Regions from separate parts of the Mus musculus genome. Here regions 1, 2, 3, 5 and 6 are each reported to be linked to region 4. The links are microRNA targets in miRTarBase. Many come from high-throughput screens and were not tested one by one. Region 4 holds a microRNA gene; each other region holds the end of a gene's coding sequence.
The links. The annotated mature microRNA mmu-miR-466c-3p reads AUACAUACACGCACACAUAAGA and lies in region 4 at 1,385-1,406, opposite strand. An mRNA with a match to its seed (bases 2 to 7 or 8) in the 3' UTR can be bound and repressed. Matches are read on the target gene's strand: a 7mer-m8 pairs with bases 2 to 8, a 7mer-A1 pairs with bases 2 to 7 and ends in A, and an 8mer does both.

Region 1 (5,078 bases), not on the chromosome of region 4:
TGTTAAATTCAAAGGGCTGTTAGTAACTCACAGCATGTTCTTCACTCCACACCCTATGTCAAGCCCACTTTCCATTCTGAGTTACAGTCACTTTGTGGACAAAAGCTGGGTTTGTTCTGGTAACATTTGCACATCCAAGATCTCCTTTTGCAAGCGCACATGAATACACTGTGGTGGTGTAAAAGTTTGCTAATGACAATTTAAAGTCACAGTATAAAAATATATTGTACACCTTTACACCTATATATAGTCCTTTTCCTATGAATAAAAAATACAACTGAATGAGACAGAAGTTTGTAGCACCATGAAGAGTTGTATCCCAAGTGACAGTAGCAGCATGATCCCATATAATGTTGAAGGAGGATTTCTGAGAAGACAGACATTCATTCTGGTTCATCTGTACCACTGAAGCTTATGTAATGAAATGTCTTATACATCAGTAACAATTCCTCGCCATCTTTAGAGATCGATAACTCATCAAAAGACACTGCCTTCCATCCCCAGGGGCTGCTAACATTGTAGAAAGGCTTATTGGTGATCTGTGTCTGCTACGAAGACATTATCTTGCATAATCTCAAAGGAGTGCTCTGTGAGTACAACACAATTTAGGTATTTATGTAGGTCTACAAAAATCGAGCTACATTGTATTGTAGACCTGGCTGCTGACAGCATGAATAAAATGAGACAAACTCACCAAGAAACTCATTTGTCAGAAAAAAACAGTCTGCCTTCATTAAGGGTGAATACTCAACATTGAAAAGATCTCCTTCAATGTCACAAGGATCTCAGTAGGCTAGAAGCAACTTGGGTGAACTGGTATTTTTAAACTTACTTATGGACTGGGAAGACAGTGTGCTTTGAGATACGTAAACCTTGTAAAAAAATAACCCATTGTAAAACCTTATGAAAAGACACACACTGATTCTGTGCAATATAGCAAATCGGTAAGAAAACACTGTAAAAATGTACCTGTTTAAAATATCATCTACCATTTTTTTGTACACAAAGTATTATATATCAAAGGCCTACATATATATCATCTAATGGCACTTGAAATGAATATAATAAGTCTTAAAAATAAAAGGCGTAACATAGAGGAAAGTTTCTGTAGAAATTTAGGTTCATTTTGAAAGTGCTATATCTTGTAGTATGTGAAGTATAGAGGTTGACCAAGCTCTATTTTTTAATTGGCCTATATGTGTACTGCTCACTAGATGAATGATCCTGAAATATGTACTCTATAACATTCATTATTAGCTTAATAAAGCAATCAGCTCTGGCTCATGGTTCAGTCAGTATATGGTTTTAAAAAACCGCCACTGTCCAAATTAACACACTATATCACTATATTCCACAAATGACTAGAAAAATAAAGCACAAGCAACAAATAGGCAAAAAACCACACAGCTTTAAAGAAATGCTGATTGAAATTAAAAAAAGCTGCACACAGACGGGTGCAAGACCCACCAAGGCAACTTAAATTATAGAAAACTGAACAAGTAATAGGGTTTTAAATGAAAGCTTATGAGACAATAACTACAAAGGTGATATTGGTAAATATCAATGGATTATATTGCTTAGAGTGCCAGGCCTTTCCGCACTCACGCTCCCGCAGATGCATGCCGTTTGCATGCACATGTGGAAGTCAAACTGAATGGGGCTCAGCATCTCGCCTGAGGTCCAAATGCCACAATAAACTGTATCAGTTAATGTTAATCCCTTTTCTTTCAGCCATGCTAAGGCACTATCAGAAATTCCAAGGACCATGGAGAATGAAAAGGGTATTGGCAAGGCCTATCGCTAAGCAGTCCTACTTCAAATAAAACAAGTGACAGAATTTTCTACGGGAGGAGTGGAGCCAATTCTGTGTTACGTCCTTGTTAAAATATTGTGCAATTAAAAAAGCTGCCTGATTTTTAATAGAAAATCTATCAAAAAAGGGTTTAGTGACCACTGTAGTCAATAAAACAAAAACAAAAAACAAATTTGCTTCTTTCCCTCTTACTTTGAAGTGTTATTCAAGTCTGCGGGGGCAGCAACAGGCAAAGAGGTGTACATACAAGAAAATTAAGACTCTACATTTTAACACTGGTTCCCTGGAAGATGTGTACTAGAGTTCCGTGCAGGGTAAGAGTTAGGATAAAAATATATTTGTTATATATATATATATACACACACACATATACACACATATATATACATATACATACACATATATATGTGTATATATATATATATATATATATACACACACACATATATGGCGCCATTCCCATTTCAAAATGCTTTATTTCATATATCCTGGTACTCCCTTTTTTCAATTAGCAGTGAAATACATACAGCCTATGAAGGCCAACGTCTCAGGTCATTAATGTGACTTCTTAAGCAAATTTTAGATAGAATAAACTAGTGCTTTCATATGTGGTGCTTGTGAACTCTACATAAAAATAGGTTTTTTTATTTACTTGTGCTCTGTCACCAAATGTCCCCTCCTTTTTAAGTGGTGATTAAAGCAATATTGAACACTAACCATCCAACTAGAACATTAGGTAAGTGATCTGTTTCATAGAAACTAAGGAAGCGGTCATGAAGCAGAGCTAAGAGCCCACTTTCAGAGTGAGTGCACTCCCACTCATAGCTTAGGAGCAGCTTGAAGAGTTAAACATGTATTTCCTTATTAACATATATAATTTTAATGCCTTTGGAAAACTTTTTAATAAAATGTATTTTTCACAATAAAATTTAAATACATAAGTATAAAAACTACTGCTCTAGGGTTAGAACCAGGAGCTTGAACCCTCTAGAGAGCAACTCTGATTCTACGAAGTGCACTAGGTGTGTGTATGACATAGAGTGAAAGCCCCATTCAAATGACAGTTTACACTTCTCCTCAATTTAGACTATTCCCAGGCATTGTAAATAATGCATTATCGTCAGTAATCTGTAATTACATTTAGGATGATGGGTAAACAATGCAATATGCAGTGATAACTGGCCCTTACAGAAGGGAAAGAGTTTCCCCATACAGGGCTAATGAGTGCTCAGAAATTAAAATATAGTTTCTTCTTCTTCTTTCTTTTAAAAAAGAGATACATAGCCTTCTATAAACCTCCCTTCACCCCTGCCCCAACAGAAGGGGTCCCAAAATAAGGTGTTAACAAGTGCTTAATAGATACATTTCATAAGTTGATGCCACAAATAACCCTTAGGAAGATATACATGGAACCATCGATCGCATTCCTGGTGGCTGTCTGACAAGAGGAAGTCCATCGCTACCTCACTCAGTGCATTCCACATCCTAGGTGCACTCATATGCGTTTGGTGTTTGCTTTATTTTCCTCTGTTTCCACTATAGATTCAACTTGTTTCTAACATTCCTCCTGATTCCCAGAGTAAAAGTAGGGTCTTACAACTTCTGGTTGTGTAAAACTGTAGAACTCCTCAAGTTGCTTTCTGATGGGTCTAATTGTTAAGTTCTCCATCCAAAAACAGCAGGGCAAGATGGATACGCACTGAGCAAGAGCTCACCGGGCAAGACTGCTTTAGAAGTGATGTGATAGGCTTTTACTCTGCACCCAAGGAGTTCAGTTTTCAGCTCTGGCAACAGTGGAATTCTCTGGACAAGTTCTGGGGTTTGGCTGTTTTACATCCATCTTCCTGTTGAGGAGTCTATCACCCCGACGATTGAGGCAGCCCAGCCATTGTAGGTTTCACATATTTACTGTCTATTGTCCCACAATGGCTCTAAGACTCTGGAATAACTGTGGTCCACCATGCAAAATGAGAACGCTGGTATACTGAAGCCATCCTGGGGTATGAAAGGTGACAGGCATATAACAAAACCTTTCTACACTGATCCTGATGACTTCGATGCCACACACTGTTTATGGAAAGATGATTGAAATGCGGCAAACCAGCCTGAGGGCTAGTACTAACACACAACACCCTGCTACCTCTCTAGGTTTCTTTTAGATAGATACTGAAACTTAAAATATTTTAGCCAGACAATAGCAGTCCTCAAAATATATTGATCTGAAATGATGGTATATTTAAGAAACCACTATACTCTCCCCAAACTGGATTCTTAACTCATTTAAAACACACTTAATTATGAATCCATTTAGTGGCTAGTAAAAAAATGTGAAACACTTCAGTTATTCACACAACACACTTCATAAGATTTACACTGTACTGAATATTTGCAAAAAAAAAAAAAGTCCAATGCCCATTGCTATTAGACAAAAATGAAAAATTTAAGATCTAACAGTAATTTGAACATAGGACTTGTAAAATTTAGTGATAATAATGGCGCTCCTATATGAAATTAAACTCTGAGACTATGACAACTGGCAGGAAATCAGGAGAAATAGCAAACGTAGTTAAACACGAACGATTTCAAAGCTTATCGAAGAGGCTAGTTCCTATTATTTACTGGCTTCATAAAACCTGATATTATACAAAAGCAGAAGTTTTTGTATTATGTTAAAAGTAGGCACTAGAATATAAATGGTCATTGCAGGCAGGGCTACACAAGCACCTCGGGTGAGTCCCTCGGCCCAGACTCTACTGAAACGCCTGGTGGAAACGGGGCAAGGTAGTGCTTGAGCTCAGGCTGCTGGTGAACGCTGCCGACAGTGAGTGCAGAGAACTTAGACCCACAGTGTTTGCAGGGTCCTGAAGATCCTGTGTTTGTGTGGGCAGCTGAGAGACAGAAGAGTGTGCTTCCTCCTGGGAATAGCTCATCCCAAGGCTTCCCACTGAAAGTGGGTTATAAGGGGGACCATTCAATGGTATGAAATTGAACAACTGAGAGAAATCCAATGCTGGTGTGCTGAGGGGGTCACTGATAGAGATAGAGCTCTTTGACAGGGAGAGGTCCCCAGCACCATCATCTGGCGACCCACTCTGAGGCTCTAACCCTAGCTTAGATGACGATGCTGGAGAATCCTGGGATGAAGATGGTGCACCACCTTGTAGCTCCATCAGGTAACTCTCAATTTCCCCCTTTAATGGCTGTTCTTTTTCAGGAATAGAGATTGCGTATGAGGTAGAACTGAATGGGCATTTGAAAGCAAGAT
Region 2 (5,078 bases), not on the chromosome of region 4:
AGGGAGCCTGTCTTCCCAGCAGTCCGATCTGCGCTCTCCCCCCCCCCCCCCCCCCCCCGCACAACACAAACTGCAAACTACAGCCCCAACAAAATGTCTGATAGCTCTAGCTCTCTCTCTCCCTCTCTCTGATATATCTGATATACTAATTATTCAAAAAGTTATCAAATAGACATACCGTAGTGTACATTCTCAGATAAGAGTCTGTTGAAGGCTTGGCTGTCTGCTGTCATATAAATGAGGATCATGGATGTCTGAGAGAAAACTATCATTTAGGATTGCTTCCATTTCAAATCCGGCACCTTGATTTTTCGGAAGAAGCCATGAAAGCACTTCAGAAAGCGCTTCAGTCATCTCTTGTGTGAGATGATGTCCTAGCACTCACTTGGGCACAGGCCTGGACCTATGATGCAGCATAGGTTCTGCTCATTAGTGATGGAGGGGCATGACGCTTCCTCATGGGGAGTTGTGATAAAGGGCTGGGGCCAGTCACTGAGCAGAGAGGACAAGAGTCTGGGACGGTCTAGGTCTGGCTCTCCCAGATAGGCCAGACTTGGCTTCACAGTGAAGTCCTTCATGTTGATACCCCTCTCAAAGGGGCGAGGGAAGAGGGAGAAGGTAAAGAAAGAAGAGTGGGTAGGATTTAAATTAGACTACCCAAACTGCTAAGTAAGACAGAATACTTCCTCACAGGTTCCAGGTTTCTGAATAGGGGTAATGGGGGCCCATACCCAATAGTAACTGGCGAACTATGATCTAAAATACTGGCTCCTGTTGAATTTTTCTGCATCTTAGACAAATTTAAATCAGTTTTTGATATTTTCTCTTCCTGTTAACATCTCTTGTCTTCAGCTTCTCCTTTGCTGTATGCAACCCCTTCTGAGGTCCTCACCATCTACTCTAAACACTGTCTCTGGGGGGCGTGGGACATTCAGGGACTTGTGTCTTGCCTTCCCTGCACAGAGACTACATGGCCCAAGCTACATAGTGACAGGACCATGAAGCGCTACACGTTACTTCGGTCGACGCCAGTCAGGACAGTTAAGGCTAAAAGCCTTTGTCACTGTAACTTGAAAGGGAAGAAAATCAAGCAGATAGAGCTGTAAGGCAGGACATAGCTGGGTCCCGGGTCACTGGTTATGGGACCTGCCTGGCTTCCACCGTGCTCCCTTAGCTGTAAAAGGAAATCTGTGGTTTAAGGTACTAGGATGTTTTGGTTACTCCAGTCTGGTCTGGGATAGCCGAATAAACACTTCCCGTCGCATCAGGAGAGCCCTCAGTGCTGCTGAGGTCAGAGCACTGTACAGCACAGCAGCCCCCTGTGGTCTACACTGGGTGAACCTGAAAGTGGTTCAGAGAGGGTAATCAGGACTTCAGGCAAAAAGGCTCCAAGATCAGTTTCTACATATATAGGGAGAGGGGCTCATTTTCTAGGATGGTTTTGAAAATTAGTCACATAGTCTCAGAGGTTAGGCCACATGATCAATTCCCTTTCAAAACACCTACTTGAGTCATTTTTAGCAATCTGTTGGAAAATAAGTATGGATAACAAGATGAAAATTATGCGACTGTGTGTTGTGTGAAGTCAGCTGAGAAGGGACGCCTTCTGAGAACTTCCAGAGAGGTTTTCCCTGCTTGGAGAGCATCGTATCTGTCCAGACAGTGCCACACTGTGCTCGAGAGAGGCTCTCAGGGAGTCTCACCCCAGGTTCACACAAAAGGCAGCCGAACTGCATGGCTCCAAGGAAAGGCAACCGAGCAAGGCAGGCATCACTGGTCTGTCCCGAGGATGTGCCTCTCCCCTCTGAGCTCACAATCCTTGCCAGCAGACACAACCCTCTGCCACTTGCTGTCCCTCTGCTCTGTCCAGCTGATTCAGAGAAGGCCTCTGAATGCTGGCAAACCTGGAGCCCGGAACCCACCCGATTAACACTCCAAATACAAGCCCTTTGGGTCTGGCAGCACATGCCAACCAAGTCCCAAACCAGTTTATTAGTTTAACCAAAAGGTAAACAGATGCTGTAGATGCGGAAAGACAAGCGTGCGAGCAGCTGGAAACAAAGTCCAGCTGTTTACCTGGAAGCAAAATTAAAACAACTGAAGTGGCATTAAATAAATGAGGCCATGTTTTACCCACTTGGGATTTCCATTGTCTTTTTTTTAAAAAGGTAAATATATATATATATATATTTTACATTGCAGTATATAAATCTAGGCTCTACATATACAGTATAATTACACAGGGTGAGCACATGGTCATAACATGTATGTCTTGTGTGCCACACCCTAAACCAGGCCAATAGCTCTGCACTGACTTTTTGACCTTGACACTGAGAAAGCCAGGCTGAGGCTAGGGTTACCTCAGTCTTCCTGATGGCTGTAATCCTTACCATCTCCCTACCACACACAGAAACATTAACCAAAAAAGGCTCACAAACAAAAGAAGAGAGTGCCTTCGGATGATTAGTCGAAAGCTAACTGGTCTTCCAGTCCAGTCTCCTAGAAACAGCAGGGTACATCTGGTGTCAGAATGTACAAGACAAGGGAATCTGATGACTTCCTGGCTCTCTCTTTGGTCCACTGCCACAAATCTCTGAGCTTTTCCTGGTGTTTCTTGTTGAGTTCGTATGGCTATTTACATAACACAAACCCTACATAACCTTTGAGAGCTAAAGTATAGGGTTAGAAAAAAAAAGTCCCTGTTACAATCTGGATATCGTATTCTGGGTTCATTCTCTTTATTTTTGGAATAAAAACTGGTATTTGGAGAAAAAAATTAAAAAGGAACAATAATTTGAAAGTGCTTCTTATACATGTCAGCTCCTTCATGTATGGCTTTTCCATTCAGATCCCAGCATAGCGCAGATCGGAAGCACAGAATGAAACTGTTATTACAGACAAAACCCATCACTTACCAGCGCCACCAGGAGAGTAAGTGAGAGGTGAGAAAGAAGAGCGCGACTCTTCCCTTCTATAAGGGTGCACTGCTGTGAGAAAGGACAGAGACGGCAGTCGCAGTCTCCTTTCTCTCCCTGTGACCTGAACACAGGAATGCTACTAAAGTAAAGAAGGAAACAGGAGCCGCGGTTAGTCAGTGGGAGACAGTTTCTGAGGGGTTGACGGGGGGGGGGGGGGGGGGTTGCTGCTCAGAAATCTTTCACAGGCTTGAAATGATTGCATGGAGTTGACTGCAGCAGAAATGTCTACACCTGAGGAAGAACTGCTCATAAGACAGAGGCCCACAGCTAAAGATGGCAAACGACCGGATGTACACTGCTACATGCAAAGGCAATCAGAGGGTGGTGGAGTGGTCCAAGACAGAGGAGAGTCCAGAGGAGTTGCTGTGCTTCTGCGCTTTCTTCTCTGGCTGAAAAGTTATGGAAGACCGAGGCTACCTGTGTGGTAATGATTGTGGTGCGTTCCTCAGGAGAGAATGCAGAAACACAACAGGGTTTCCAGGAATTGAAACAAGCTTGTGTTGACCCCAGGGGCATTGTGACGGGGACCAGCAAGGCACACAGGCCTCAGATGCTCCAGCAGACTCCAGCAGGGGGCAGAGACCACTGACCCATCCGAACCTTTCCATGGTGGCCTTTCATGCAGCCTATGGCCATGTCAATCTCTGCTGTTTGGTCATCTGGTGGCACATGACTGAGAAAGGAATTCTCTCCCTTTACAAAAATAAGAGCCTGGGCTTGTAATACTGGCATGAAGAACACTCCGCATTGGTAGTTCTAATTCTATTTACTTGGAAGTATGAGACCAGGTTCTTGGTCCCTTCTGTTTCCCTGTAAAAAGTGACCTCAACTTCCCAGGCCATTGTGCAAATTGGTTTTTCCATAGTCCAGAATATCCTGTATAGTCCCTCTGGTATATCTACATACACACACACACACACACACACACACACACACACACAAACACACGCATACACACACGATATGCGTGTGTATATATATTTTAAAATATGGACTATTTTGTATTCACTCTCAGATCTAAGAGCATCAGTGAACCTTTTATCCTTTTAATGTCAAATTCACTTCCACTCTCCCCTGCACAGTGCTCTCTGCACAGCTGAATTCTATAAATATCTGTCGCTTTCACCAATGATGCTCAACACTGGGTGGTGGTTGGCGTCGCCATGGCTTTTGCTCAGCCTCACTCTGCCTTGGGCAGTAGGAGTGTACTGTCCCTTTCAGAGGGTGATCTTGCTGTGCCTGTTACTCCAGCAGCCCCGCTTAGCTGTCCTGGGCAAAGTCAGGCTGGTCCGACTGCGCAACTTCACCTGCTCCTCCACCGAGTTCTTTTTGCGTAAAATGAAATCAAAGTTCACTTGGCTATTCATGGCGTAAAAGACGTTTGCAGAGTCCGGGATCACTAGTTCTAGGAAAGAGAAGGAAACAGCAGCTGGTCAGTGGGGGTTGGGGGAACCCATCCCTGACTGGCAGAAGCCAATTCTGCCCAGGCACAAGGCCTGGGTAGAGTCTCTGTTTCTTGCCTATAACCTAGACCAAGCAATGTGGATACTTCCTCATAATTGGTCCCAAAAAACTTACTCCCTATCTGAAACTGAGCACAAGGTGTCAGAATTCCTCCCATGAGCGTACTGCTCAAATACAGAACGTTAGAACTTGAAGAAGGTACAGGGGTAGGGACACCAAATACAGGACGGTCCCAGGACCACAGAGCTGGAATGAGAACCCCTGCTAGCCTGCTGTACTCCCACAGCCTAAGGGTGTCCAAGCACGTGTACAAGACCTACAGCAATTGTCAGGCATCTTTACTTGGATTAAATTAAGGTACTTTTGACATAATTCCAAATCAATCTGGTCATTTATTCTTTTTGAGTCACCGTTTTGTCCAGCATTTGCCTTTCAACACTAAACCACATCCACATAAGACAATGCATGCCACTAATTTTTAAGTCATATTCAAATCCAGTGATGCCCACCTGAACACTCATAGTTTATAAACAAGGGTTGTTATTACCAGTGAAGTAATAAATTCTGTCAATGAAAAGTTGTTTTATTCTGTTTTGAAAACCATAGAATAAAATGGGCAGATGTGGACATTGGGTT
Region 3 (5,078 bases), not on the chromosome of region 4:
AAGTTATGACATTAAAAACTTGTACATTATAATATAGTGAACTTCACAGATTTTGTGATTAATACCATTTTGCTCCCCTATTATTTTTAGTTTAAAAGTCTATTCTGTATTAAAATCAATATAATGTCTGTTTTCTGATAGTTCATGTGTGGTTCTAGAAAGGGTTGAAGAGTAATTCATGTTCTGTATGTGGGAGACTGGTTGAAATAATTCTTTTCTAGATTTTTGATATAGTTAAAGGTTTCTTCTCTAGTAAAACCCATAAATTGTTATAAAATCCTGTTCAAACAAGTCAGATTTATATGGAATGCATAACTAAGCTGGAATGTTGGTGCATACCTGCAATCCAGTATTCTCAGAAAAGAACCGAGAGGAGGAGGCAAGAAGAACTGGACATAGTTAAGGGTGTTTGTTTCTTTGGTCAGGAATGAGAATGTGCTTTTTTGATACAATCTTTTTTATATTTTTAAAATATTTTTCCTAAAATAGGGTGATGGATTAGAGTTCAAGAGACACTTCCTGAAGATTAAAGGGAAGCTCAGCGATGTTGTGAGCAGCCAGAAGGTTTGGTTTCCTGTTACATGAGGAAGCTGTCAGCTCTGCACATTCCTGGTGAATAGAGTGCTGCTATGTGACATTTTTCTTCCTAGAGAAGATTATCCTATTCTGCAAACTGCAAACAATAGTTGTTGAAGAGTTCTCTTCCCATTACCCAAACATCTTCCGATTTGTAGTGTTTGGCATACAAATACTACTGTATTTTAATTGTATGTAATGCTTTGGGGAAAGGATGGATCAAATTCATTAGGTATTTCTCCAGCTGTCTTTAAATTGTCTGGATTTGAAACCAAGTTATGGGATACTTGAGTTTGCCAGCTTTTATACCCATGTAGTAGTATCACTTTTGAAAAATCAAAAGCTTGTTTCATCCCAAGCAAAATATTTTCTTCTCTGCCTATTTAATTGTAAGGATGAATAAACACAGACCATATACAGTTGATTGGTTCATGAATGAGGCCAGCCACAAAAATGTGTATGTTAATGTATGTACTGTATTTTCAGTTTGGGTATATGTGCTGCACAAGGGCTTGACCAATTATAAAACTTTTTTGAGTTAAAGTGTTTTAAATTGCAAATTTTCCTCCTGGCGTAGCTTGTCAAATATAAAGACTAATTTGGTTGGATTTTCACAAAGTTGAACATAAACTCTAGTGCTTAAGTGACATTACTCTAAAAATTACACACTTAAACAATTTTTTCTAGATTCACAGCCATATTTTAATTACTCTAGAAATAAACTATTTTCAAAATCAATATCTAACTCTGAACTTATTGGCCAGCCACCAAGTTTCTAGATGACACTGACTGAAAAGGGGCGGGAGTAAGGAAATGCAGGAGTTGACCGGATCCTTGTTCCTCACCTTGTACACTCACTTAAACTTTGTTTTGTTCATAAAATTTATATTAAAATATGAATATATGATTGGGGTCCTGTATTCCTTTTCATAGATAAATTCCAACATTAGTTAGTCTGAAAGCTGAGAACATTTAAAATTTTATGGCTCAAGTTTATTTCATGTTGGTATATGCTGTTGTCACCCACTTAACTCTCCCATCCCCAAAAGTTAACTTGAACCTAACTCTATTCAGTCTCCTGTTTCCCACTTGTAGTCCCACTGTGGTAAAAGTCAGCCATCTTGTTAAAAACGTTACTTATTCGAACCCCAAGTCCCATCTGCGCTGTACTGTTTTATGTCATTGTCTTCTTCATCTGATGGTATGCAGTACTGTCTTCCGAGCCTGTATCTCTCAAGTCATGATTGCTTTCCGCCATTACTTGGCACCTACTCAACTATATTGCTTTGGTCTCCATGATTTTGAATATTCTTGTACTTCATATAAGTAGAATTGTATATTTGCCTCTTAGTGTTTGGGTTACTTCATAACAACTCTTTTCAGGATTTATCTATGTTATAACATATCAGGTTTCATTCCTTTTGGTGACTAATACTCCATATTATGTATGTCTGTGCGTGTGTGTGTGTGTGTGTGTGTGTGTGTGTGTGTGTATGTATACTCTTTCATATGATCATGCATATTTGGATTGTTGCCACCTTTTGTCCATGTAATTGATACTGGTGTGAACATGAATATATAAGTACCTGCTCAAGTATGTTTTTAATTTTTTGTGTATAGACCCTGAGGTAGAATTGCTATGTCATATGATAATTGTGTGTTGTTTATTTTTTTCCGCTTATAAAATACAACAATTTATTTAAAATTTGTAACAACTGTTTTTTGAAACAGGACCTCACTGTGTAGATCAGACTGGCCTTTGGCCTGTGAACTCATTGTCCAGCCCAGGCTGTTTCTTTTTTTCCTGACTCTGTCTCCCAAATACTGTGATTACATAGCATGCCTGGCCCAACTTGACTTTGACAGGACAGCTATATTTACAGCTATGTTGTCTTTCCTGTGTAATTTTATTAACACCAAAAGCTATATCTTTAAATGTTGTACGCACACTACAGTAAATATGGGTTTTATTTATTTTTTTATTTTGAATCAAGTTTTCATGTAGTCTAGGCTGGCCTTTAACTTGCTATCCATGAGTGGATAGCTTTAAATTCCTCATCTTTCTGCCTCTACCTCCTAAGTGCTGGGATTACAGATGGCGTGACAGCTCATCTACATCTTCTCCATCCTTGGGTTTTACATAATTGTTCTTATATTTGTTGTTGCTGGGGATCCAATCTAGGATCACATTCAAGTCTTGCAAACACTTTTACTGAGCCAGATCCTTTTTTTTTTTTAAAGCAAGTTTGACAATTCTTTTTTTTTAAAAATTAATTTATTTATTATATGTGTGTACACTGTAGCTATCTTCAGACACTCCAGAAGAGGGCATTAGATTTTTGTTACGGATGGTTGTGAGCCACCATGTGGTTGCTGGGATTTGAACTCAGGACCTTTGGAAGAGCAGTCGGTGCTCTTAACCACTGAACCATCTCACCAGCCCCACTGAGCCAGATCCTTAAGCTGGGATTTTTAGTTATGCCTTTTCAGAGGTATTTGTATTGTGGTTTTTTACTGCTCTCTAGCATCTTTTCATCTAAAGTTCAAGGGCAATCTGTAGGCACAATTTTTTTGCAGCCTATTGTAATAAGGGTTCAACCTCTCTTCTTGCCCACCACCTGCTAGAGGTAGCAGAAAAGAAAAGTTATTAGAGATGGGGGAAGTAGACCTGTTTAGCAATAATTTTTAGCCCTTTAGGGGTGAGCTTGATCTTCTTTGTCCCCCGTTCAGTCCCATAGCAAACACCAAACAGAAATCAGCAACTACCGTCCGGTCCTCTTGGCAGGCAGATAACAATCTGTAGTTCAGTCCTGAGGAAACCACAAGGCTTGCCAACTGGTCCGAGGCTATGGAAGCAGCAAGAATTAGAGCAGTTCTTTGGTGAGCCTCTTCCAATGGCAGCATTACCACAAGTGGAGCTCAACAACAATATGTAGGGCCAACTAATACATGTGTGTCATTAGTGAAGAGTAGCTAGGCAGAGCAAGCCAAACCAACGCTCTTGCTCTCATTGTGTGCGGGATCATATTTATACTCCTTCATCATGTGTCCTTTCACCTGTGTCTGCTTCATGAAAACATTCTTTCACATGCCTGCTTTAGCGAGATATTCTTTTATCTGTGTGCCCCAGCAAAAAATCATTTGTCATAACTGACTTTCCGAAGAAACTTAGAAATTTCCACTTTAGCAATCTTAATCATTTCTTACATAGCAGTAGTAGTTATAATCAGTTCCTTTAGCCCACTGTCTGTGAATCTTAATTTTGCCTTTATTTCTATGGGATAATTCTGTTTCACCAGACACTGAATTTTTAGTTGATAGTGTTTGGACATTTTTTTTTTCCTTTCATTAATGTATATATCACCTCACTGCCTTTGGGCCTACAAAGGTTCTGCTGAGAAATTAACTGTTTTTATGAGACAGTGGCACTAAGTAGCCCAGGGTAACCTGGGCCTCACTGATAGACCAGGCCTACATTAAACCTGCAACTCTTCTGCCTCAGCTTCCCAATGACAGGGTTACCAATGTGTACTACTGCACCCAGCTAACTGATAATCATATTTAGGATCCTTTCTCTTCAGTGAATTGCTTTGATGCCTTCAAGAGTCCTTTTTCACCTTTAGTTTTTGATAGTGTTGTGACAGTATGTATGTCTCAGTCTTAACCATCCTGAGAGCTCATTGTATTCCCTGTGTTTGCAGATCCATGCCTGTCTTCTGATTTGGAAGCATTTCAGTCAACTAGTCTCTGTCCATCCCTTAGTCACTTGTGAGGTAGTACTGACTGTGTGATAGTGTTGTTTAAGTCCCAACTTAAATTGCTTATGTCAGGCTTCCCTTCCTCCTTATTCAATTTTAAGCCTTCGGAGTTGGTGATAATCCGTGGTAGGAATGTGTGTCAGTGCTAAAACATCTGACAGTGCTGTATGGTTGAACCGAAATCAGAGTTGCGGATTCTTGGTTTAAACCTGCTGTTAAATTCTCCAGCACCAACACTGCTTGTTTACATATTGGTTTCCTGATTGCTCTCACATCAAAACCTGTTGTTCTCTGAACACACTTGAGACCCTCCATTTAAAGTGTTTCTGTGGGGAGTGTTCAGTACAGTTTTCTTTCTTTGCATGTCTTCCAATCGTTTTGTTGAAAGCTTGGCACTTGAGGCCTGGAGATAGGGCTCGGTGGTTCAGAACTCTGGCTGCTCTCACAGAGCATGCAAACCCCCAGCACCCACACTGGGCAGCTCACAGCTCACCTATAAATAGCTCCATGGGATCCAAAACACTCTTCTGGATTCTGGCCACTTGTACATCCATACATACCTAGACATATTTTTACAAAAAACAAAAACAAAAAATAAGTCCTTAAAAATAGTTTTTCCTTGAAAAACAAACACAACTCTTAAACTTGCTTTGCGCACATCATAACAGCAAGGTATGTTTTGAGCCTTGGGATCAAGCTGATGTGAAGGGTTAGTGTCTTCTCGTCCTTCTTGCCTTCACATTC
Region 4 (5,078 bases):
CTGGACCAGTACTGCATAAGCTCTAAATCTCTGAGTCACATAACATTCAAAAAAATATATGAGTGACATTCGTGTATGTGCATGAGTATATATGCATATTCATGTATAAAAGTGAATATGCACACAACTATACTCACATGCACATATTTGGAGGACATCACACGAATCGCATGCTGATCTCTAACTCAATGTGAGTTAAACATGAATTTGAACTCGTCATCCTCCTGACTCTGGCAAGAGTGCTCACCTCCTAACTGAGACATAGCTCTGGCCATTCCTATGAATGTGTGTGCATGCGTGTATATGCATATTCATATACAGAAGTGAATATGCACACAACTATACACACTTGCACATTTTTGGTGGGCATAAGATGAATCCCATGCTAATCATGAACTCATCATGAAATTCAGCACGAATTTGAACTCCTGATCCAACTGACACTGTCAAGGGATTTCACCTGCTGAGTGAGACCTCTCCCCATTCAGTACTGAGGAATCTTAAAACTCTAAATCACATATCATTCAAATGGATCGATGAGTTGCACTGATGTTTGTGTGTGTGTTTCTGTTTGTGTCTGTGTACATGTATATATTTGTGTAGATAGGTACATCCATATACTCAAATCCACACACAATAGAAACAGATACAGATAGAGATACATAGGGGGCATCACATGAATCCCAGGCATATCTCTAAGTCATCATGAAGTAAAGCATGAATTAGAACTCCTGATCCACAATCTTTCACACCTGGTGAGTAAAACCATTCACTGTCCCACTACTGCATAATCTTGAAAACTTTAAGTCACACATCATTCAAACGTATAAATGAATGCAATTTTTTCCTGTGTGTGTGTGTGCTTGCATATACACGTGTGTTTATGTTATATATAGCATGTCAACAGAGATAATGCACATACAAGTAAACACACATGCACATTCATGGGAGGCATCACATGAATACCAGGATGATCTCTAACTGAATTAAGCATGAATTTGCAATCTTTATCCTCCTGACTTTGTCAATCTTTTACACCTGGTGAGTGAGGACATTCAATGTCCCCTATTGCATAATCGCTAAAACTCTACATCACTTATCATTCAAAGGGATTGGCGAATGCCATTCCTGTATCTGTGTATGTGTGCTTGCGTTTATACGTGTGTGTGTATGTTATGTATATTCAAATATAGACATGAACATGCACACACAACTATACACACATGCACATACATGGAGGAATCACAGGCTGATCTCTCATGAGGATAAGTATGAATTTGAACTCCTGATACTCTTAACTCTAGCAAGCATTTTCACTCTAAGTCACTTATCACTCAAATGGATTGATGAGTGCCATTCCCATGTGTCTGTGTGCTCATATGTGTCTTATGTGTGCGTGTATGTATTTGTATATCATATTCACACATGTACATGTACACACACATCAACACATATACACATACACAGGGGCAATCACATGAATGCCAGGATGACCTCTAACTCATCATGCCTTTACTATGAACTTGCACTCCTGATCTTCCCGACTCTACCAAGGGTTTTCCCGTGGTTTGTGAGACCTCACCCTGGCCCAGTCATACATAACCTCCAAAGCAGTAGGTCACATATCATTCAAATGGATCCGTGAAGGCCATTTCCGCATGTCTGTGTGCATGTGTGTGTAGGTGTGTGTATGTATATGCATAAAATATACACGCATATACATGCAGGCACTTACGCACACGGGCACATACATAGGGGCCATCACATTATTCCAGGATGATCTCTAACTGCTCATGAAGTTAAGCATGAAATTGAACTCCTGATCCTCCTGACACTGCCAATTATTTACACCTGGTGAGTGAGACCTTCACTGTCCCTCTACTTTATAATCAGCAAAATTCTAAGACATATATCATTCAAATGGATCAATGAGTGTCATTCTTATGTGTGTGAGTGTGCACGCCTGTGTGTGTGAATACATTTGTATGTGTGTGTATTTATATGTATGATCATATACACACATGTACGTGCACACACAATTATATGCACTTGTGCATACCTAGGATCCATCACACAAATACAGGGTGATCTCTAACTCATTATGAAGTTAAGCATGAATTTGAACTCCTGAGACTCCTAACTCTGGCAAGTGGTTTTCATCTGATAAGTGAGATTATTCCCTATACCATGAATATACACTCAATGAAATTATAAGCACGTATAAATCAAATGGATGACTGCCATGTGTGTATGTGTGCACATGTATGTGTCCCTAGTTGTGTGGGTGTGTATATATATATATATATATATATATATATATATATATATATATGCATGCTCATATACGCGCATGTACAGGCACACTTCCTTTTACACATAAACACATACACAGGGAAAAATCACATGAATTCTGGACTGATCTCTAACTCACCATAAAGATGAACATGAATTTGAACTACTCATCCTCATGATGCTGGCAAGAGTATTCACCTCCTAACTGAGTCAAAGATCTGGCCATTAGTGTGAGTATGTTTGCATGTGAGTATATGCATATTCATGTAGAGAAGTGAATATGTACACAACTATACACACATGCACATTCTTCGTGGGCATCACATGAATCGCATGCTGAACACTAACACATCAAGAAGTTAAACATGAATTTGAACTCCTCATCCTCCTAGCTCTGGCAAGCATACTCACCGCCTAACTGAGACATAGCTCTGGCCATTCCTATGAATGTGTTTGCATGCGTGTATATGCATATTCATATAGAGAAGTGAATATGCACACAACTATACACACATGCACATTTTTGGTGGGCATAAGATGAATCCCATGCTGATCATGAACTCATCATGAAATTCAGCACGAATTTGAACTCCTTATCCACCTGACTCTGTCAAGGGACTTCACCTGCTGAGTGAGACCTCTCCCCATTCAGTACTGAGGAATCTTAAAACTCTAAGTCACACGTCATTCAAATGGATCGATGAGTTGCACTGATGTTTGTGTGTGTGTTTCTGTTTGTGTCTCTGTACATGTACTTATTTGTGTAGATAGGTACATCCATATACTCAAATCCACACACAATAAAAACAGATAGAATAGAGATACATAGGGGACATCACATGAATCCCAGGCATATCTCTAAGTCATCATGAAGTAAAGCATGAATTAGAACTCCTGATCCACAATCTTTCACACCTGGTGAGTAAAACCATTCACTGTCCCACTACTGCATAATATTTAAAACTTTAAGTCACATATCATTCAAATGTATAAATGAATGCAATTTTTTTCCTGTGTGTGTGCTTGCATATACATGTGTGTTTATGTTATGTATATCATGTCAACACATACAATGAACATACAAGTAAGCACACATACATATACATGGGTTGCATAACATTAATACCAAGATGTCTCCAAATGAAGTTAAGCATGAATTTGCAATCTTTATCCTCCTGACTTTGTCAATCTTTTACACCTGGTGAGTGAGGACATTCAATGTCCCCTATGGCATAATCGCTAAAACTCTACATCACTTATCATTCAAAGGGATTGGCGAATGCCATTCCTGTGTCTGTGTATGTGTGCTTGCGTTTATACGTGTGTGTGTATGTTATGTATATTCAAATATAGACATGAACATGCACACACAACTATACACACATGCACATACATGGTGGAATCACAGGCTGATCTCTCATGAGGATAAGTATGAATTTGAACTCCTGATACTCTTAACTCTAGCAAGCATTTTCACTCTAAGTCACTTATCACTCAAATGGATTGATGAGTGCCATTCCCATGTGTCTGTGTGCTCATATGTGTCTTATGTGTGCGTGTATGTATATGTATATCATATTCACACATGTACATGTACACACACATCAACACATACACACATACATAGGGGCAATCACATGAATGCCAGGATGACTCTAACTCATCATGCCTTTACCATGAACTTGCACTCCTGATCTTCCCGACTCTACCAAGGGTTTTCCCGTGGTTTGTGAGACCTCACCCTGGCCCAGTCATACATAACCTCCAAAGCAGTAGGTCACATTTCATTCAAATGGATCCGTGAGGGCCATTCCCGCATGTCTGTGTGCATGTGTGTGTAGGTGTGTGTATGTATATGCATAAAATATACACGCATATACATGCAGGCACTTACGCACACAGGCACATACATAGGGGCCATCACATTAGTCCAGGATGATCTCTAACTGCTCATGAAGTTAAGCATGAAATTGAACTCCTGATCTTCCTGACACTGCCAATTGTTTACACCTGGTGAGAGAGAATATTCACTGTCCCTCTACTTTATAATCAGCAAAATTCTAAGACATATATCATTCAAATGGATCAATGAGTGTCATTCTTATGTGTGTGAGTGTGCATGCCTGTGTGTGTGTGAATACATTTGTATGTGTGTGTATTTATAGGGATGATCATATACACACATGTACGTGCACACACAATTATATGCACATGTACACACCTAGGGTCCATGACGCAAATCCAGGGTGATCTCTAACTCTACATGAAGTTAAGCATGAATTTGACACGAGAAGACTCCTAACTCTGGTAAGCGGTTTTCATGTGATAAGTTGGATGTTTCCATATACCATGAATATACACTCAATGAAACTCTAAGCACGTATAAATCAAATGGCTGACTGACATGTGTGTTTGTGTGCACATGTATGTGTCCCTCGGTGTGTGTGTGTGTGTGTGTGTGTGTGTGTATGCATGTTCATATACACACATGTACAGGCACACTTCCCTATACACATACACACATACACAGGGAAAATCACATGAATTCTGGACTGATCTCTAACTCATCATAAAGTTTAAATGAATTTGAACTGCTCATCCTCATGATGCTGGCAAGAGTATTCACCTCCTAACTGAGACAAAGATCTGGCCGTTAGTGAGAGTATGTTTGCATGTGAGTATATGCATATTCATATACAAAAGTGAATATGTACACAAGAATAAACACATGCACATTCTTGGTGGGCATCACATGAATGGCATATTGAACTCTAACTCATCATGAA
Region 5 (5,078 bases), not on the chromosome of region 4:
CCAGGCAGAAACCTGAAGAAAACAAGGTCAGCAGCCCCAACTCTCCTGACCCCGAGAGTCCCAAGGAAGAGCCCAAGGCTCCTCAGGCTACGGGTGTCTCTCGAGCCCTTCCCCCCATCCCAAGTTTTGCTCGAAATACGGTGGCCTCGTCATCTCGGAGCCTGCGAACGGATGCTCCACCCGCGGCCAGAACCACTGGCCTCACCAGGACAGTCTCCCAGCGGCAGCTTAGGGTCAAAGGTGGCTCCGAGGATTCTGCCTCCAAGGACATTGGCACTTTGAAGAGGGCCAGCAGTGCTCGGGCCTCCAAGAAGTGTCCTGAATCTGCTGGGGGTTCAAGTGCCAATGTAGAAACCTCACTGAAGGGCAGAGGGACGACGGAAAGATCCTCTCTCAGACTGAAGGACTCGGGGCAGGCCACCCTCGGGAGGATCCTCCGTCCCCTGCAGAAATGATGACGCCTGTCTGCATTTCTGCCTTGTGGGATGTTAGCTGCTGGGACTGGCTGCTGCGGGGGGAGGACACAGAGGCCAGTCTTAAACATCTTGTTACACATCGAGCAACACACTGGTGCCACCTGCTTAAAGGTCACGTCACTAAAGGTACAAGGAGAGCTATAGCCTGCTGTGCAGACTTCTGCTTCGAAATCAAAGCTGAGAGTATCCTTATTCTGCACAGTACTTTGTCAGGGGCTGGCACCTCCTGTCACTCATACTCAGGACCCTATCCCTAACTCCTGCCCCGAGACAAAGATCCAATAATAGTCTGGACATGTAAGATGACAATTCTTATGTAACAAGTAAAAAAAAAAAAATTCTGGCCAGTTTTTATATATCAAAGACTTATTTTTTAATATTATAAAAATAAAAAAGATGTTTTAGTTCCTTTTTCAGAGTGAAATGCCTCCCAGGAATGGGGGGATTATCCTTAATATGAAACTGTTTGTACCTTCATCCCCACCCCCTGCCTCGGGGTTCCATCAGCGTGTATGTGGGAGAACACACACCATACCTAGCCAGGGGTGGCCTCTCACAAGCTCTTGGGTGGTTGTACGGTTGAGGCTGTCTCCTTGAGAACTTTCTGGCTAGCTAATGTGTGGGTTCTCCTCAAATGACTCTGGGTGAGGATTTCATGTGAATAGGAGGGACGTCAGATTTGTATGGGTAAAAATCTGATGTTACTGTGAGTTTAAGGGGGCCCCAAGGGTGTGAGGCCCATGGCGGGGAGCCCATGGCTATAGGGAAGTTTTCCCTGAAGATAGGAGCAACTGTGTAGGGTGCTGGATAGGGTGCTTGGTGTAGAAGACAGCAAGGGCTGCCCAGCTGAGTAGGTCCTTCCCATGTGTGCAATGGTGGCCACTCGCTTCTGTTAGCTCCGGGTGGAGAGGGAAATGACCCTTTTTGTGGGTCAGGCTTCCTTCTCTTCTGGGGCCTCAGTACCCCACCCCCACCTGCTATTCTATTTGATTTTGCTTTTAGAGACATTGTGAGACCTAGTCTAGGCTGGCCTCTTACTTGCAATCCTCTGCCTCAGCTTCTGAGTGCTAGGATAACAGGTACAAGGCACCAGGCCCAGCCTAGGGATACTGCTTGGTGTCAGCCTGTCTTCCTTGGTACAGCGCTTCTCAAGTCCAACTGAGAGAAGCCCAGTCATGGTTGTTTATTTTAAATAGACTCTTACCCCCCAAGAAACACTGACTTCTGACTTCAGGAATCTTAACACTGGGGAAATCTGTGCAGGAGATAGGCATCGTGCAAACAGAAGTTCTTACCCAATGCTCTTTTTACTACTTCTCTATTAAACCCAGGAAATAGAGAAGAAAGTGGGGGGGGAAGCTTGAAATAAAAGCCCTGCCCCCTTCTTTCTGAGTCACTTCTTAGTGAAATCTCACTTTAGATCAGACACTGGTGACTGGGTGGGCTAGGTCAGCGTGTCACACTGTGAGGTGACTGCGGAGGCTGCTATGGTCTCTCCTTTCGGGAAGCCTCTCCATCTTTGCCTGGGAACTGAGCTGCTGTCCCTGAGCTGCAGCAGTTGAACAGTACAGTGGCAGAGATAGGCTGCAGTCACCACCTCTTGTTAAAAACAGCCCTGAGCAGCGATGTCTGGGCAGCTAGGAAGCCCTCAGCAATCTGTCCCCCTCTGGAACCCTCCAGAACCAGAAGGCCTGTGGGTGGGTGGGAACGGATGAGAGACGACACGTGCTGACAGGTTTGTGGATGGTGAATTGAGTAGCCCCGTGGGAGGGCCCAGGGACCCATCCTGTGCCGTATTCCAACACCGCTTTCGTTCGGTACAAGCGTCTACTCTCCCTAAGTGTCTGTCTCCCAGCCCATAGAAGTGAGTCCAGCCCTTCATGATGGTTTCCAGGAATCGAGCTACCCAGTCACCCTGTGTCTGTTTCTGACGTGGCTTCTAGGACCCTCAGCAGAGGCTGGGGAGCCTCCGGAGAAGCCTGTTGGTATGGTGCTGTCAGATCACATTGGCTGCGTGCTTGGGAAAGCAGTGGTGTCGCCGGCCCTGTGCACACGTGGGTGGGCAGGTGGGCAGTCTCTTACTACCTTTTATACACTGTAAGTTTGGGAGAATCATCTATGCAACAGAGGAATGTCAATGCCTTTCTACATGCGTTTGTTGAGGATGCGCTGAATGCATTTTAAGGTCCTTTTCTACGTACTTTATGGAACAGGTAGTCTTAATAAAGTTGTTTGTAGGAGTTATACCTATGCTATGCCTTTGCACATGTGTCTTAGTTGTCCTGCCAGGAGAGTCTTTAATCTCTTTCCCTGAAAGAAGGTGAGGTGTGGGAAGAAAGGGGGAGGGTATGGAAAACTTGTCCTCCAAAGGTTCGAGAGTCAGAATAAATTTCTATTGGCATTGGTTCCATACAACACACACAGGACCAAGGGCTCGGGAGTGGGCTTTGCTGCAGGCCTGTAGGGATGCAGGTTTATCTCACAAGCCATTGCCGGAACACTTGATGCTCCTTGGAGCTCTTGTTCCAGGTACAGCCAGGCTTTGAGTGATCTCCATGGGGCCCGGCAAGTCCAGATCTGTCCCCATGTGTCCTCTTTGAATTGGGACACTCACTGAGAAATCGCAGATTATGTCTGTGTCTGGTTCAGGAATGAGCAGAGGGAGGGAGGTGTTGAACTTGAAATGCGCAGTGGGTGCATATTTGAAAATGAGAGCATTGTGGGTAGGTGGGTGGCACCTCATACCTCAGGCTCGCATCACATCATAGTCCTAGCTGCTCTGTCTGAGAGCAGCCTAGAGGAAAGTCCCCAAGCATCCACATCCAAGACTCCGAACAGCCATGTGTTCAGGTGAGAAATCCTGGAGTACTTCAGTAGAACTATTAGTGCCTGTTCTGCAGTGTACAAATTCACCTGCTTTCAAAGGTGCAGTGTCCTTGCCCTGGGTCTGCCCCTCTGGCAAGGACTCCATTTTGTAAACTTAGAAAATTTGCTATTAAACATTATTCTTAGTCTTTTATGCTTTTACTTGTGTTCAATTCCTGCTTGAAACTATGAGTTTTTGTTTTGGTTCCTCCCCCTCCCCCTTCCCCCCTCCCCCTCCCCCTTCCCCCTCCTCTTTCTTCTTCTTCTTCTTCTTCTTCTTCTTCTTCTTCTTCTTCTTCTTCTTCTTCTTCTTCTTCTTCTTCTTCTTCTTCTTCTTCTTCTTCTTTTCTTCTTTTTCTTCTTCTTCTTTCTTTTCCTCCTCCTCTTCCCCTCCCCCTCTCCCTCCTCTTCCTCCTCCTCCTTCTTTTCTCCTTCCTCCCCTTCCTTTTTCCTGTAAGTGTTCATAAACATAAGTACTAAACATAATAAAATTTTAGTAAGGGACGTGCTTCCAGTCATTCAGCAAGTGTTTCTTAAAATAATGTGGACTAGAGGCTCTGCAGACACCGTACTTGGCATCCACGGGATAAGAATGTGTAGGTCAGACTGGCTACATGGCACAACTGAGCACATAACCCCGAGTAGCTTTTCCTGGGGGCTTCTCCATCTCCATTTTCCAGTTAGCATATGCCAAGCCTCACTCAGCTGCCTCAGTGAAGATGAGAGTAGCCAACAATGGCTTTTTTGTCTTCCAGTTCAGAGCTTTTGAGTTTCTGTTTGAAAGCTGACTGTGCCCAAAGTTCATTCTGCCCTTCGAAGCCAGTCTGTCCATACATGGACCCATGGCTGTGACATCAAGGAGCCTGGCATTTGTGGCCACCATCTTGTGGGGTGAAGGTGAAAGACCTTGCAATGAGGAAGTCTGAAGTCCCCAATGTTGGATTCATGGGAGCTTGGAATCTGCTCCTAGGCTTTGCCTCTGGCAGCCTCAGGCTCTTCCAAGGATCACATCATGCAGACAGTGTTCAACCTGCAAGGCAGATGCTGTTCTTGAAGTTTATCTGGGTTTTAGTTGAGGAATTGGGACTGCGCTTCCCTCAGTAATCATAGCTCACCCCAGAAGTAGTTTTCACAGAAACTCTGCTATATATACAGTCCGAATGCTTGCATCAGCCGTCTGCCTCCACACACTCCATCTGATGGAGGCTAAAGCCAAGTTGGAGGTGGTATTAGGAGCTGGGGCCTCTGGGAAATGCTTAGTGTGAGGGTAGAACTTTTGAGAATAGGGTTAGTGCACTTACAAAAGAGCCTTCCACCATGAGGGGACCCAGTGAGAAGGCACCGTCACGAACCAGGAAGCAGCATCTCCTGTTTTGACCTTGGACTTTGTAGCCTCTAGAACGATGGGAAATCAATTCCCTATTTTGGGGTAACTTTTCTTGGTGTGTGGGAATTTGTTATGGCAACCTGCATGGACTATGACACCATCTGTAAGAGGGCTGTGGCTATGATATTGTCACAAAAAAGGAACTCCACTTATAGCAGCATTTCTAGAGCAAAGTGCAGCATTCCATGTCAGGAGCACGTGTCAGGGGCATCAAGAGCATTTTCGCCCTATTTCCTAACAGCAGTTGAGGCTAAGGCATGTGACCTGAGGGAACAAGTAACCAGTGATCTAACTTCTCCACTCAAAGTCAGCCCCTCCGGACAAATGCAAAGGCAGGCCGAAGTGTAGAT
Region 6 (5,066 bases), not on the chromosome of region 4:
GGAATGGATACAAAAAATGTGGTACATTTACACAATGGAGTACTACTCAGCTATTAAAAAGAATGAATTTATGAAATTCCTAGGCAAATGGATGGACCTGGAGGGCATCATCCTGAGTGAGGTAACACAATCACAAAAGAACTCAAATGATATGTACTCACTGATAAGTGGATATTAGCCCAGAAACTTAGTATACCTGAGATATAAGATACAATTAGCAATTTTTTTAATGGTTCCCTTGAAATTTTGAATCATTTCAAATGAATATGTATCTATTAAGTTCCTCAAAAATATGGGATAGGATATTGAAATGTTTAAATTTTAATCACAGGTATCCATATATGAGTTTTCCATCTCAAGATTTCAGTTAACTCAGAAATATTTCTGTTCACAAGTCAGTGTCTAAGGGTATGAAGCACACAGAACAAGTCCTTTGTAGATGCTGAGGCAACATCATGTGGCAGAAGGGTAGGCGTGGCCTCCTACTTTTCTCAATAGAAGGATGACAGGCCATCCCAAAATACAAAATATCCACAGAGCTTTGGAGAAGTTCTACCCAGCAGCTGATGCAGACACCAACAGCCAAACAGTGGGTGGAGCTTGGGGACTCATGGAAGGATAGGAGGAAGGATTGTAAGCCCCAAAGGGGATAGGAACTCCACAAGAAAACATCAGAGTCAACCAACCTGGACCCTTGAGGAGAGAGAATTGACAATCAAATAACATACACAGGCTGTACCTATGCCTTCTGGTCCATATGTAGCAGATATGCAGCTTGGTTTTCATGTGGTTCTCAAACAACTGGAGTGGGGGATATCCGAAAACCCATTGCCTATATATGTAGGATATGTTCTTCTAGCTTGGCTCCCTTGTCTGGCCTCAGTGGGAAATAATACTTCTAGCCTCATGATGACTTGGTGTGTCAAGGTAGGTTGGTAGGTAGGTAGCTACATAGATAGATAGATAGATAGATAGATAGATAGATAGATAGATAGATAGATAGATAGATAGAAGATAGATAAATAATAGATTGATGTTAGACAGACAGAAATATAGACAGACAGCCAGAGACATGATAAAAAATAATACCCAAAGAAAATGTGAGTGAAATAATGTTTTGTTTATTTTAAATAAATTGTAAACTATAGAAGGGCATTTTTAGAAATATTATTGAAGAGTTTACTTATCCAGATGTGTTTGAATTTGTAATACATCTCTGAAAATATCTTGGAAAATTAGGATTGTCAAGTAAAAAGAATGGATATTTTCTGTTCACCTCTTTTGCTGTATTTATTGTTATTGAAAGTAGGAGAAAAAGAAGCACAGCCCCTTTTAGTAGGTCTGTAGGTCATAAATTTTCAGTATTAACTTAATTGACATCTTTATATGAATTAGGCATTTATAATAAAATAATTATATGTTTGCTTGGAGTCTGTGTCTGTTATATGACAGATGTTTTTTATAATAATATATAAAAATATGCCAGAGTCCAAGACCCAATAGGAAATTCTGAAAGACACAATTGGGACGTCTAACTTATCATAATGTCATTAAATTCATATATTATTCTCATGACTGAATTGAAAATTTTCAGCTATGTTATTTCAATTAATGAAAACAGTAATGTTAATTTTCTACTCTGTCTGCCATAAAAAAAACAAAAATCAATAAAAACCTTGAAAAGTACTGCCATCAACATAACCCCAGCACTTTGTTGAAGATACAAATGGATCTTTTCTGTCTAACTGTCAAAACTATTTAGAACCATTTTTACATATGTACATATTTATAATAATGTAAGCTATAATGAGACACTCAAAGGGTGGGACAGAAGTATAGCTACTCATTTTAAAGATGTATTTTCTTTTCTCAATTAGTTGGGTCATGGGGTATGTGAACACACGTGTAATGCGATCTAAGGAGTCCTACAGAGAGTGTCAGAGCTCCTACAGCACATATCACAGGTAATTGTGAACTACTATGTGGGTGCTGGGAACTTGAAATCACGCCCTCTGCAAGAGAAATATGTGCTGTTATCCTCTGAGCTCTCTCTGCCACCCTAAACTGTTCTTAACGTCTGGGCAACATTCACAATGGAGAGCAGCTTACCATTTGCCTTCAAATGTCACACCACTTCACACTTCTGTACCCATCCTGAGCCTATTCACAAGAGCCTTTGTTGTACAGATTTGTTTAAGAAACCAGGGTATATTTTATTTCACTAGATGGGCAATATTCACACTCTAAAACTCGTTTGGATAATAAAGATGTTACTGAAAGGGAATTAACAAAATACATTTATTGGCTCGTGTAATACTTTTATTAAGGTTGATGGATTACTTTTGATTTTCGTGAGGAAGGTTTTAAGGTCAAGGTTGTCTTCAGAGCGAATTCTGTTAGTAGGATGAAGCTGTGACCCTGGTATGAGTACAAATCATGCAAAAACACACAGTGAAATCATACTTGAATAGAAAACGGGGCAGCTGAATGAGGCAAAGAACAGCGAGGTTTTTTTTTTTTTTTTTTTTTTTTTTTTGGTTGTTGTTGTTTTTGTTTTTTTTTTTTGTTTTTGTTTTTGTTTTTGTTTTTTTGCTGAGAGTTTGTTTCCAGAAGGTGCTCCTTTTATTGATGTTGTGAACAGACCTGGTTTGCACTCTACTCAAATACTGTACAAAACTGCAAGAAACGCCACGATTTGACTACTTAATTTCTACAAAAACATCATCGTGAGGTTGCGTTTTATTTTAAAAGTCAACTAATAACTGCTAATGTACACATCGGTCATAAGTAAATTTAGTTTTGACAGAAACACAGTTAACTTTAGCTTATTTCAGGGGCATATTTCAGGGGCATAAATAATATTTCATATATTAAAAGAAAAATGAATTTTTACCCATTAACAATCAGTAATTTTATAAAATTGAAAACCATGTTTTCTAATTTAGCTATGTGAGGTGTGTGTGTGTGTGTGTGTGTGTGTGTGTGTGTGTGTGTGTGTGTGTGTGTGTGTGTGTGTGTGACATAATCTACAATCTTTTGATAGTGTCCTAAAGTCATTGTTTAAAAATGTTCAACTCTTACCAAAACCTCTTCTGGTATACAAAGCTGCTGTAAATTCGAGTCAATGAAATTGAAAGTTCCAATTTACAAAAGCAGATTTACGTTAATTCTTGTCTGAAAAAAAAAAAAAAGCTGCTTTCCAGACAGAAAAATGTGCCAACTAACTGCCCTTTCCTTTAAAATTAGCGGCTTCTGAGCCCTGATGAGAAGCCTTAAGGCAGAATTTGCAGTAAACAGGAAAGAAGAGAATCGTATAAGTGCTCCTCTGTACCTGGGACACCTATGAATTCTCATTCTTGGAGTTTTTGGCACAGCTTTCTAATCTGATATAAGTGAACTTCACTGCACTCCATTTCAGCCAAGATGGCAGCTTTCTTCCTTTCTCCAGCACCAGAAAAGTTCAGCTGACAACACATACCTGGAAAGTCCATATATCATCATCATCATCATCTTCTTTTCTTCTTCTTCTTCTTCTTCTTCTTCTTCTTCTTCTTCTTCTTCTTCTTCTTCTTCTTCTTCTTCTTCTTCTTCTTCTTCTTCTTCTTCTTCTTCTTCTTCTTCTTCTTCTCCCTCTCCTCCTTCTCCTCCTTCTCCTCCTTCTCCTCCTTCTCCTCCTTCTTCTCCTCCTCCTCCTTCTTCTTCTTCTTCTTATCCTCCTCCTCCTCCTCCTCCTCTTCCTCCTCCTTCTTCTTCTTCTCCTTCTTCTTCTAAATTTTAGGTAGTTTCCAATGATTGAAGTGAGCTGAAAGGTTCATTACTACTTTCAAATAAACTCTGAAGCTAAAAATAGAATGACTGTGACATTCCAATAGTTATTAAATTTAAATGTAATTAACATCCTTTCATGGTGACTCATAGTTATTTGAGCTTGTCATGCTTGTAATATGTACATGGCTATAGATATGCTACATAGTAATTAAACACTGGTTTCACATCTCTAGCTTTCTCCTTGTGTGTGTCAAGCTTCCAATGACACTAGCAGGGGTTCTAAACACTCCTAAAGCAACCAGGCCAGAGGTTTGGCTGTTTCATATATTTGAGTGGCAATATTAATCTCTGATCATCCTTAGGCAACAGTAGAAATATTTTTCTATGTAATATCTAAATCAAAGGTTTCCCAAAGTGTGACATGGGATCCCGACTTTCATTATAATTAGAACATTAAGAAATAAATAATGGGATCTGAAACCCACTTTAAACTAGTTCCTAGGTAAATGTGTTAAAAAGGCAATGGCTCTTTTGGCACGGGATGTTTTCTGCCTGTATTTCCATGAGTTAGCAAATGCAGGTCTCCTTTAGAGGTCTACTGTAAGCTCTACCATTATATATATATACATACTATACATAGTGGGTCATAAATTAGCAGTTATTAGTCAGACTGTACAAAGCAAAAACCAAAACCAAAACCAAGTATAACATTGCTATACAGCCCAAAAGTAACCAAGTCTAGTTTCATGGACTGACCCCTAATACAGGCTCCCTGTTTAAATAGGTAGCCCAATAAACTAAATTAAAAGTACCAAACAGAACTGGGAACACTATTCTAGACATCCTGTCGATTTTGCTGACACTGTTGAAGGTTTTCTTGGCTTCAGCTGGCTTGTTCTCTGGCTTCTTGTTCGGTTCTGGCGTCGTTGCACTTTTGGAAATGGTAGAGAGGACAGGATCTTTGGAAAGATTCGGGGCATAGTTGGCAACAGCTACCGCATAGGCGTTGTTCTGTATCATGACGGAGCCTTTCTCTTTTTTCTAATGGAAAATACAAAAGTTGACACAATGTGGGTTTAGGCTGCATCTTAAAAATTTCCAAAATACAGTTCAAATTCTAGAAGAAATTATTACTCAAACATGCATCATTAGTAGTAGGCGAGAAAAATTAAGGAAGTAAGCAAAATAAGTTCAGTAAATTCTAAAAACCCCAAGTGAAGAAACTTACAGAGAACAATACCGGCGCTGTTTTAATAGAAAACTAATTGCTGTTTTTTACATAGAAGATGAACACTAGA

Region 1: miRTarBase lists Plag1 as a target of mmu-miR-466c-3p. Seed matches in the 3' UTR shown: 7mer-m8 at 2,334-2,340, 7mer-m8 at 2,204-2,210 and 7mer-m8 at 2,054-2,060.
Region 2: miRTarBase lists Rgl1 as a target of mmu-miR-466c-3p. Seed matches in the 3' UTR shown: 7mer-m8 at 3,878-3,884 and 7mer-A1 at 2,636-2,642.
Region 3: miRTarBase lists Chek1 as a target of mmu-miR-466c-3p. Seed matches in the 3' UTR shown: 8mer at 768-775, 7mer-m8 at 1,044-1,050 and 7mer-m8 at 2,068-2,074.
Region 5: miRTarBase lists Fhdc1 as a target of mmu-miR-466c-3p. Seed matches in the 3' UTR shown: 7mer-A1 at 790-796.
Region 6: miRTarBase lists Gabra2 as a target of mmu-miR-466c-3p. Seed matches in the 3' UTR shown: 7mer-m8 at 4,393-4,399 and 7mer-A1 at 1,771-1,777.

The regions. Positions count from the first base shown.
Region 1 is chr4:3,899,127-3,904,204 of GRCm38, forward strand. Plag1 (pleiomorphic adenoma gene 1) reads right to left here. Exons shown (of 6, transcript NM_019969.3): 6 at 2,032-5,078. The coding sequence ends at 4,564. Among named protein-coding and RNA genes, the nearest start is that of Mos, 30 kb to the left of the region's middle.
Region 2 is chr1:152,514,814-152,519,891 of GRCm38, forward strand. Rgl1 (ral guanine nucleotide dissociation stimulator,-like 1) reads right to left here. Exons shown (of 18, transcript NM_016846.4): 18 at 1,949-4,383. The coding sequence ends at 4,196. Among named protein-coding and RNA genes, the nearest start is that of Gm51749, 23 kb to the right of the region's middle.
Region 3 is chr9:36,705,842-36,710,919 of GRCm38, reverse strand. It overlaps Chek1 (checkpoint kinase 1), which reads left to right. Exons shown (of 13, transcript NM_007691.5): 13 at 490-2,438. The coding sequence ends at 585. Among named protein-coding and RNA genes, the nearest start is that of Acrv1, 15 kb to the right of the region's middle.
Region 4 is chr2:10,499,943-10,505,020 of GRCm38, reverse strand. It overlaps Mir466b-3 (microRNA 466b-3), which reads right to left and starts at 1,456; the gene lies at 1,376-1,456. All of the region lies in intron 10 of Sfmbt2 (Scm-like with four mbt domains 2), which reads right to left. It overlaps Mir669a-11 (microRNA 669a-11), which reads right to left and starts at 3,682; the gene lies at 3,596-3,682. It overlaps Mir467a-10 (microRNA 467a-10), which reads right to left and starts at 1,748; the gene lies at 1,666-1,748. It also overlaps Mir669a-12.
Region 5 is chr3:84,439,844-84,444,921 of GRCm38, reverse strand. Fhdc1 (FH2 domain containing 1) reads left to right here. Exons shown (of 12, transcript NM_001205355.1): 12 at 1-2,726. The coding sequence ends at 455. Among named protein-coding and RNA genes, the nearest start is that of Fhdc1, 37 kb to the left of the region's middle.
Region 6 is chr5:70,957,290-70,962,355 of GRCm38, forward strand. Gabra2 (gamma-aminobutyric acid (GABA) A receptor, subunit alpha 2) reads right to left here. Exons shown (of 10, transcript NM_008066.4): 10 at 1,103-4,809. The coding sequence ends at 4,513. Among named protein-coding and RNA genes, the nearest start is that of Gabrg1, 120 kb to the left of the region's middle.